Schizosaccharomyces pombe: one gene and its partner. The protein of the gene in region 1 purifies or fractionates together with the protein of each later gene. This does not show direct contact. Each region holds a gene or a part of one and is shown on either strand. Other genes may lie near its edges.

Region 1 (5,371 bases):
AAGCACTAGATCACGAACATTAATGAGGTCTACCGAAGTGCGATTACCACACTTGCTTTATTCTTTATGTGCTTACTACACTACTATAACAGGACTGACTTTTACCTGTCTTCTAATACAATTAATCTATTATGATTTAAATTAGTATGTTGTTAATCCGCTTATTTTTACAAGCTATGCTGTACAACAAATGTCTTTATAAATGAGAGCTATTTTTACGATAATCAATTTACCTTTAGTACTTTCATATCCTCAAGATATAAAGTTATCAGTGTAGGTTGCTAATAATTAAAATCTGCTTGTAAAAATATTTGAACCAGAGGAGTCAATACTAGTGTAAAAATGTAGCTGCTTACAAATACTTCCAGCCTGCCGTTTAACGATTTACCACGAGTTATGAATTGCTCGTAAATTTATGCGGGTTGTTGTAAATTGACAATATTAAAATTGAAGTTCTCGAAAATGTTTTATTATATTGTACTTGGTAGACCATTTCATTAACTTCTTATTTGTTCTAAAGGAAATACTTGGGAAGACGCTACGTGCGGTGCTGTTATGAGGTTTTTGTAGTATATTCAATAATGTTAACTACACCTATGAATTTATGCAATTTATACAGATTTTTTTTAATAGTTTGTAGAAATTTTTTTGTAATTGACATAACTATTCAGCTGGATTTTGCAAAACTGTTCTATCTATTCTCACACACACGCCCACTGAATACTACCTAACATAGTGTCGAACTTAACTTCTTGATTGTACATATCTTAATGTCACAGCCTTTGCCTCCTGGATGGACTGAACATAAAGGTAAATTTAATGAGCAGTTTATTTGCTAACTCATAGCACCCAGTGGGATTCCTTATTACTGGAATGCCGAGTTAAAAAAAAGCACTTACCAGCGCCCAAGTTTCATTGAGAAAAACCATTCATCTTCTGTTACTGCTTCGCAAGCTTCTTTGGCGTTTAACACAAGCGAAAAGCTGTTTGTTAATGAAAATGCTGAAGAGCGCAAAAATTCTCGAGATTTGAGGAAACAATTACCGGACAGACCAAAATTCAAGTATGTGAGGCGTAAAATTTTGTTATTAACTTTTTTTTTAGAAAAAGAATTCCTAATAATGATTCATGGGTGGTTGTTTTTACTAAGAAAAATCGGTATTTCTTTCACAATTTAAAAAGCCATGAATCATATTGGGAACCTCCTTTGGAAATTAGTAAAGACTTGAAGATATTACGTCTTCCGATACGGAAGCAAATCAGTAAAGATTCCTCACAGAGTCAGAACGTTGATAGTGGTAAAACCAACCACGAAGAAATACATGAATCTAGGCATTTACAAACAGAGATTGAAGAGCCCTCTGGTTTAGAAGAATCATCGGAGGAATCCGTTTTATATTCTGAAGAATTTTATGAAAAATCTGATGAAGAAGAGGATGAGGAAAAATCACACTCCGCTGAAGAGTTGGAGTTTGGTGAGGAAGATATTATGTATCAACTTCAACAATTGGATGATGAAACAGTTTCCTATGATATACAGGAACAAGCTACAAATTTATCTACTGATGATGCTAGAAGAGTATTTACTGAACTTTTGAAGGACAAAAACATCGGGGCATACCAACCGTGGGAACTAGTTTATCCAAAGTTATTAGACGATGATCGTTTTTACGTATTAGATTCGGGAGAGAGACGAAAAGAGGTGTTTGAGGAATATTGCAAGTCGGTGGTTTCTACCAAAAAAATTACGCGTAGAAAAAATACCTTATCGGATTTTTGGACTTTGCTTCATTCACTTCCATCTACCTTGCTATGGCCTCAATTTAAACGTAAATATAGAAAGTCGTCGACTCTTCAAATTCCAGGATATTCGGAACGTGATTTTGAGAAACTTTTCCGTGAGTTTCAGATTCTACGAAAACAGCCTATGCAGGACAAACTGTTAAATTTTAAAAAGCTATGCAAGTCAAAAACTGTAGATCCTAAAAACCCCGACGAATTCACAGAAAGCATACTTAATGACACACGATATGCCGTACTGACGCGTGAAGAACTGGATTCCTTGGCTTGTTCAAGTAATTAATGAATTTTTTATTAAATAGGTGCTTAGAGAATTTCTCATTTATTAATTTATTTGGAAAAAAATTATTTTTTTTCGCGTACTCTTTTAAGCAAGTAGTTTGTCGACGGGTGAGTTTCTTTGTTTACCATCTACTACAATTATGAAATTTCATCCGACGCGTCCTTTGGGTTATATTTCGAGTTTTTTATTATTATTTCTTTTTTCTTTACTAGTGAGTCTACCGGAGATGTAGAATCATTTATGAAATATTCGAATGTGGCCTTTTCCGAGGGGTTAGCCGGTTTTGATTCTTTAGCTCACGTATATCAAGCACTCTTGAAAAAATCCACTTGCTATCAGGAAGTTGCTGCAACTTTAATTTCCAAATGTAGCTTATTGAATACTGAGTTGACTATCGATAATCGAATTCACTCAGCCATTCAAATGACTCTTTGCGATTTTGAACGGTCTCAAATTTTGGCTCCTTCAGAATGCGTTCGTGGCTCGCAAAGTGAATGTGTATCGAAGTTGGAGTCAACTTCTACCTGGTGGCTTTCATTCACTAGTCACTTTCATGATGTAAATCACTTATGCCGGTTAGCAAATCTGGAAATGCAAAAAGGTAAACTTTAAATAAACTCTAACAAACTAACAATATAACAAGAATTATCAATCGAGGTGAATATGAATGTAACTCTTGTGCAAAAGCAATTTTTGGAAATGGTAATTTTGCATTTGCGAAACTTTGAGAGCGTGACAGATAAAATGAATCAACGTATTGATAAGTTTGATGGAAAATTTAATTCAGTTATCGAAAATTCTTTCAAAGATATCAACTTTCGTGTCAACCAAGAAATTATGGGCTTAGTCGAATTGCAAAACCATCAACAGGAAGGAATGGTACAACAAAAAGAAATACTAAGTACAATCAAACAACTAAAATCGGAAATATTTGATATAAACTCCTTTTTCGCTAATTTTATTGAAGAAAGTGCTGGTTATTCCAATAGTTTAATTGAAAAATTGAATGAAAAGTTTACCTCAGAAAATGCAATTGCTCTTTCCGCTATCGGCAAATATACCAGTGAGTTCTCTGCTTTTATGGAAAAAAGGATAAAAAATTTAATTACTACAACCGAGGATTCATTACAGCAATCAGTGCAATCCAACATCGATTTTGTTAACTCAGGTTTTCAACCGTTATACGATCTTACAATTCAATTGAAAGAGGAGCTTCAATCATTGAAACGTTTATCCTCTGAGCAACAGGTTAGTTTTACTTAATGGTTTTTATATTCATCGTTATTGCTTTGTCTAACAGTACTGTATAGAATTTGCAACACGAACAGATACTTCAATGGAAGTCAGACTTCTTAAATGTCAGTAAAGATCACCTTAAGGTACTTCAACAGTTAAGGCCTCTTATTGACATTGTTGAGAAGTTTATGAATGTATATTTTAAAGGATTGTCCAACATTATTAGCAGTTTTGCTTTTATAGGCTTCACGCTGTTCGCTACCTTAAGCAGTTTATTTTTCAAAGTTTTAAAAATACATCGCCGACCGATTATTGTATTCGGCTCCTTATCAATAATCTTTATTCATATTTACTGCTTTAAGATTACCTCATGGGTGAATCTTTACGGATGGATCACTTGCACTATTGCGCGAACTCTCTCGTTTATTAAATTAAATATCCGTACTTTCTATCTGACAGCATTTTTATGTGCTTTATTAAATTTTCTGCGATATCTAAAATACCGAAATTCCAAAAAAGATACGGAGCTATCTCTTTTCCTTCCAGCACCAGAGGAGTGCAATATATATCATAATGAACATATTCAAGTTCAAGAAGACAATTATCTATGCCCAATAGAAAACTCGTTAATCGACCTCTTTGGCTCTGAAAATAATAAGGAAAAACTGGGCAAACAGGAAAATGTTAGGTTTGCTTTCCTGAATAGTGAAAGTTTGGAGCAATCTCCATGGTGGGATTAGTCATCTTTCTAATTCGAATTAATAAATTCTACATCTTAAGAATCTTTTTTACTCGTTTTCATTCACATGACATCAAAGCGTGATGTGAACGAGCATTTCGACTTAGAGCAATTACCGATACCTGTATGATATGGTAGAAAATTTTAGGCGCATAAAAAATGTCAACGTGTATGACTATGTTTGAGTTAAAACAATTGAAGATTAATCCCTATGAAATACAAAACTCCTTGTTCATTATTTCCTAAAGTGGTGAACTATTACTATCAATATTTAGAGGACATTAAGTCATTTTCATGAACAATCATGCGATACATAAATCTGAACACCTGTTCCATCACCTTCTTCAACATCAATTTATTCAACTAATTGAAATGGATTAAACTTACTAAAAATATCTTATATTCAAACTTTTTGCAAATCGTTCTCTCTGTCATCACCTTAGCAAAAACCTTATTATACTAAGTAAGAAAATAACCGAAAAAGTCGAAGGCAAATAATTTTCTTCTTAATTGAAGTGGTACTAAAGGTTTTTGTGATCCAAACGATTATAATATGTTACGTAACGTTGACAAAAACAGTAGTTTACGAAATGGTTTATCTAGATTCTTCAGTGAATGTGAAATACTAGCTTAACGCCTGTCGTCAATTGCTTGACCATTTATCCCGTTTGTTCATTCATGCTACACACATGAGGACATAACGTAATTATAGCGGTTAGAACTCGCAAAATTCCTACATATATATACTACCCGTCTAGTTCATATTTTTTCCAAGGCTTTTATTTATCAACTAAAAAGATTTTAATTTGAAAATGGATTATCATATTGCGATTCTGAACGCAGATACACCAATGGTAGAAATCACCAGCGCATACGGTGATTATGCAGATATGGTTAAATCGTTGCTTCAATCAGGTTCCGAATATTATTCTACAGAATGGAACTTAGTTACCAAAACTTACGAGGTATATAAGAATCCAAACGATTATCCTCAAAAAGAAGATTTTCCAAATATAAACGCAATCATTATAACCGGCTCCAAAGCATCTGCAACAAGCGACGCTCCTTGGATAAAGAAATTGATAAGCTTTGTGAAAGACGTTTTATTTAAATACCCACATATTAAAATTGTAGGTCTCTGTTTTGGTCATCAAATCGTTGCCAAAGCTGCCGGCGTTCCTATTATTCAAAATCCTAAAGGATGGGAAGTTTCTTCTACTGTTGTTCAACTTACTGAAAACGGGGAGAAGTTCTTTGGTAGAAAAGTCATCAATATTAACCAAATGCATCAAGACATGGCAGTTGATGTTCCC
Region 2 (5,576 bases), 550 kb from region 1:
GCAATGCAAGCACATATTAGAGCAGTTGTCTGCTAAGGTATTTATATTTAACTATGGATAATGACTTTTCTTTGAGCTATATAAATTTAATGATTAAAATGTTAAAAAGGGATCAGCTAAATTTAAAGTTAAGTTTTTAGTTTAAGTCAATTGGTCCCTCCGTTTCAAATCCCAGTTTTTCCCATAACTGCTTAGGGTTTTCCAAGGAATCAGTAATTAAATGCCATAAATCATAAAACATTTTCTTTCTGTTTGAGAATCCTTTTTTTGCAAAATCGTAGTTTTTATCAGTCTTTTGCATTGCTTCCTTGGAAATTTGTTTAACGGTACCATTTCGAAGAGATTCGAGTTTTGAGCTGGTTTCTTCAATTTCTTTATCAATGCTCTGAATTTTTTCACGAATTTCGGCTGGACTGAGTGAGTTATTTAAAGCTTGTAATTCTTTTAGAGTTAGCATAAAACAAGTGCTGTGTACGCTCAAAACAAATGAACGATACCATCAATAAAACTTTGATCTGTTTTAAATCATGCATATTATGTGAAGTATCATTCTACATTTTAAAGAATAGCATTTATTTACTGACCAATGCATTTCTCTTTGTATAGAGTTTTAACAACTGAAACCTCATCTTTTAGTTCTTGAATTTGCTTCTCCATTTCAGCCAATTCTTCAGGAGTAGCAGCTGCCAAGTCATCTTGAAGACAAACGAACACACTTTGTTTTCCTCAGTAATCGTTAGTAATCTGTTTAACTAATTTTTCAGTACCATATAGTTTCCCATGGATTAGTCCAGTGTCGCGTAGCTGCTCCAATGCTTTCTGCGCGACCTGTTTACTGACAACATTTTTCAAATTAGCACTAACGTCAGCTTTTAACAAAATTGTCAGCTTCGATTTTTTTAATGTATGTTCTTACTTGCAGAATAGGGACGATTCGTTTTTCGTAAATACTCGTAAACAAGTTTTTCAGCTGCGATTGATTAGCTGAATACCAATGCCTTTTGTCAATATTATACCTTCCTCTCCTTTAATAGGTTTCGCTTTTACTTCTTTCGCCTTAGCCATTTGCTACAATTGCGATGTGTGAGGAAAATAGTAAAAGCGCGATGTAGCATCAAACATTTATATATAATATTTACGCGTGGCGGAGACAACGCGTTTTCCCCAAGCCATTCTCCTTTGTTCTTAGCTAAACTAAGGAAGAAAATCCATGAGAAAGGATTTTAACTATTTTACGCACCTATATAAAGTACTCATAACGATGGGTTGAATTGCGCATCGTGTCAATGAAAGAAGGTTGCATAGGATAGTGAGACATTAGTACAAAGAATTCGATTCCTAAAGCTATGCTAGAAATTTTATTAAATTAAATAATTTCCAACCTTGCGAAGGGCTATATTATAGTATGTTTGTACTTTTTTAGCATATTCGGCAACGTCAAAAACACTTCACAAATTGAATGAAACCGATATCGTCGAATACTACGAAGCGCTTTTGAGAAACGTTTAAGCTACACTCTTGATTTTGCATCTAATACCTATTATTAAGTACTGTTCTCTGTAAACATACAAATCTGTTTCCTTTTTAGAAAAGCACAAATTTCCTGTCTGTAAATGCGATAAGTCTTTGAAGACCATTGTGAAAAGATTCAAAACAATGGCCGAATGACTCTTTAAAATACATTCCTTTCTTCAACTAAATCCTTGGTATTTTCTTTCTTTAAAAATCATAATTTTAACAAGAAAATATATGGAGCTAACAGACAAACATCTGAACATTCGCAGAGTAACTTAGTAAACATTAGAAAGGAAGAGCTAACGAGTGTTGTTATGCCATTGCTAGTTTACTATAGGAAAAGTATCATCTGTTTCATGATATTTATATAAACAAAATTATGCAAAACCTGTCTTTTTACAATAATTTAACTTAAATAGTTATATATTTGTTAATGAATACTGAAAATGTTGTCAGGATATATTACATCCTCGACATCACACTACCTTATATGTTTGTTAACTTGTCTTCCGCTTACACCAAAACATGAGTACTGCTTCCAATAGGGTTTCCACACAAATTGTGGATGAACATAAACAATTCAACAATGAATTACCAAAGTTTATGCAAAGCGTAGGACTGTTAGATGCTGGTTTCAACTATCATGTTGTTGCCGTTTTGGGTTCCCAATCTACTGGCAAGAGTAAGTAGATTAAAATCAACTTGAGAGTTCTATATCCAACCAATGTTATAACATCCTTTTAAATTGGATACTTAAAGCTTTCACTGAGCAAATTTGATTAACTCTATGATTAGGTACATTGCTAAATAATTTATTTGGGACTTCATTTTCAGTAATGGATGCTTCCAAAAGGCAACAAACTACTAAAGGTAAATCTATTATTTCTTTTTAATTAAAACATCTGAGCTTGCTGCTAATTTTTGTTAGGTATTTGGTTGTCGAAGGCAAACAATTCGCCTATTCTTGTAATGGATGTAGAAGGCACCGATGGTAGAGAGCGCGGTGAAGATCAGGTAAGATTTTAATGCGAACTAATTTGTTACTATTAGTTACACATTAGTATTTCCTTTACTCATAATTGATCAATATTTTCTTTTGGAGTCATTACTAACCAACCTAGGATTTTGAAAGAAAATCAGCTTTATTTTCCATTTCAACTAGTGAAGTAATTATCGTTAATATGTGGGAAAATCAGGTTGGTCTATACCAAGGCTCAAACATGGCATTACTTAAAACAGTACTAGAAGTCAATTTACAACTTTTTCATAACAAAAAAGAAAGGTGCTTGCTTCAATTTGTTATTCGGGATTTTTTGGGAAATACTTCAATGGAAAATTTAGCAGATACTATTATGACCGATTTGAATAACATTTGGGCATCCCTTTCGAAACCAGAAGGATTCGAAAATTCCGTAATTAATGACTTTTTTGATGTTGGCTTCACTGGTTTACCACATAAGATTTTATGTTCTGATGCTTTCAGTGAAGCTGTTGATAGTTTGCGTGAAAGATTTGTGGATAACAATAATTCTGATTACATATTTAATGTGAGTTATCATAAAAAAATCCCCGCTGATGGTTTTTCTCTTTATACTCGTGAGATATGGGACACCATTGAAAACAACAAGGACCTTGATTTACCTACACAACAGCAATTGCTTGCTCAATATCGTTGCGATGAGATTATTACTGAAGTAATGGAACCTTTTTCTACTGCTTGTACTATTTTACAAAAAGAGTTTTTACCCGGTAATTTATGCAAGGACCTTCCTACCAAGCTCTTAAACATGTTTGAAACTGTTATCGAAGCTTATGATCGACAGGCTAGTAGATACAACGTGCATATCTATCAAAAGAAAAAGCAGGAGCTTATTGCTTCGGTAGATTCTCATCTTTATGTATTTTTCCAAGCCCAGTTGAACGCTCTACACAAGGAGCTTATTAAATCATTTTTTGACGCCTCAAATGAATTTCCCTCTGATACGCCTTTTAAAGAATCATCTTCTATTAAAATTAACGAACTTGTCAACAAAATGCGTGAGGAAGGTGAATCTTTGTCTTTACCACATGTTCACTGGGATGTTGATCCATTTATTCTAAAATTATCGGAAGAGTTAACCCAAAATTCCGAAACGCTTTGTAAGGAAAAGTTGAAAGAGAAGTTGGAAGAGTTGTTTACTGGGTTCGAGTTTGAAGTTTCGGAAGCTGTTGAGGTCGCTTTCCAAAAACTTTCTCATAACGTTTGGGATACGCTTCTCAATGAATTCTTAGCTGCTCAAAATACTACTATTGAAAAAATAAAAAATATTGTTCCTTTTTATGTGGATATTGATGATACTAAAACAACGGAAGAATATATTATCAATTTTAAAAAGAACAGTTGGCTGTTTTTTAGAAAGAAAATTGATTCTGAAATGAGCGAGGTTTTACTACAGCAGCGTTTACGAGTTTATTTTGAAGAACTATTTCGATATGACAGTGATGGGATGCCAAAATTGTGGAAGAAGTCGGGAACGATTGACCGTGATTATCGGGAAAGTTTAACCAAAACGTTAGACTTGATCAACGTTTTGGCCTCTATTAAAGTTTCGGATGGCAATTATCCGGACTTGAACGTTGACATAAAGACTTTGGAGCCAGAGTATACCTCGCCAGCTTCATTTTTTACTATTCTAAATCGTAGACGTGTGTCCGACATATCTGTTAATTTCAAGAGATCTGCGGATTTGATATTTATGGACTGCAAACGTTCCGTAATCAATACAACCACCAGAATCCCCCCATACTTTTGGGTATTGCTAATAGTCCTTGGTTGGAATGAATTTATGGCTATTCTCCGCAATCCATTCGTTTTTATGATCCTTATGTTTGGAGGTACTGTGGTTTATGGTTTATATATTTCTGGCTTAATTTGGCCTGCGAAGATGGTTTTGGAACGGGCCACTAACAATCTGGTTGATTTAGCTACAGATAGATTTTCTAATACTTATCAAGAGCAAGTTCAACAAAGAGCTATGCAGAGGACCGAGAAAAGCGGTTCACCAGTTGCATCAGCCGATGACGCCGAAGCAGAAAAAACTGCGCTTTCATGATTCGTCTGCTATAAAGAATAACGAAATTGTGGCATTTAAAATTCACCTGTATAAATCGCTCACTGGATTTTTTTATTAAGTTACTGTCTGATTGATAGACTAATGTTTGAGCAATGATGAACCTATTAACCTGATATTTTACTATTGCTTCCTTTTCAGTTGCTGTAAAAAGTCACTGTCCTGGAACAATTGTATCGTTTATTTCAGTTCTAGGTAGCCTTACCACTTTGGTGTATGCTCAATCTCTATACTTAATGAAAAATGGTTTTACAGCTTGATCATGTACATATCCTGAATAATCTTAGTAATGTATAGTAACACATAATTGGTTTTATTGCAATTTCCATTGCTGCAATAAATGCATTGTTATTCTTCAACCTATACCAAGCATTTGAATTTTATAATTTAACTGCATTTTTTAGGCAATCGTTTACAGTGAAAAAATCTGCAGTTACGATAGTGCATGTAATGAGACTGTTTAAGAATGATTTTTTTTCGAAGATAGCATTTATTAGTGAATAAAGTTGGCCGAAGATATACTGAATGTCTGTACAAGAAAACCAAGTCGAATTTCTAGAACACAGTCAACTATGAATTAGTTTCAACCATATCAGCAACCATGAATTGTGATGTTGGTGTTAGAAATTTTCTGTAAGGACTTCATTCTGACGATGATTTCATTCTCGTCAGATCAATGTACCACCACGCCTAGAAGTGAGTGTGTATTTGCTAGGTTACTTGAATTTAAAGGAAACTATTAGCATTGAAGAATTGAATAGTCATTATCATTAGTCAACCCTTTTGAGTTAACAGTCAATAAGAAGGATTGGGAATTCACCATTCATTTTGGCTCTGCCAATTTTCGTTCAGTCATAAAACTCATCTAGAGAAATTTCTGCAAAGATTAAACGTGAGATTCTTTGCAATGTCTAATACAGGTTCCGCCCGTACTGAGGAATTTACCAAAGG

Evidence for each region.
Region 2: the proteins of tht1 (region 1) and sey1 purify together in Schizosaccharomyces pombe (affinity purification with western blotting, with the first as the bait; one study listed by BioGRID). This does not show direct contact.

Annotation. Positions count from the first base shown.
Region 1 is NC_003424.3:425,260-430,630, forward strand, and holds tht1 (nuclear membrane protein Tht1), read left to right. Parts: upstream 1-2,213; 5' UTR 2,214-2,323; coding exon 2,324-2,684; exon of another isoform or gene 2,685-2,726; coding exon 2,727-3,331; intron 3,332-3,393; coding exon 3,394-4,059; 3' UTR 4,060-4,862; downstream 4,863-5,371. Other genes in the region: splicing-associated factor Dre4, read left to right, coding at 771-810, 847-1,063, 1,105-2,083; SPOM_SPAC13C5.04 (amidotransferase), read left to right, coding at 4,871-5,371. UniProt on the Schizosaccharomyces pombe protein: Required for nuclear membrane fusion during karyogamy.
Region 2 is NC_003424.3:973,198-978,773, reverse strand, and holds sey1 (GTP-binding protein Sey1), read left to right. Parts: upstream 1-2,035; 5' UTR 2,036-2,040; coding exon 2,041-2,197; exon of another isoform or gene 2,198-2,239; intron 2,240-2,310; coding exon 2,311-2,385; intron 2,386-2,443; coding exon 2,444-2,529; intron 2,530-2,636; coding exon 2,637-4,607; 3' UTR 4,608-4,931; downstream 4,932-5,576. Other genes in the region: meu13 (homologous-pairing protein 2), read right to left, coding at 137-441, 585-725, 768-869, 917-970, 1,017-1,065; SPOM_SPAC222.13C (6-phosphofructo-2-kinase), read left to right, coding at 5,533-5,576.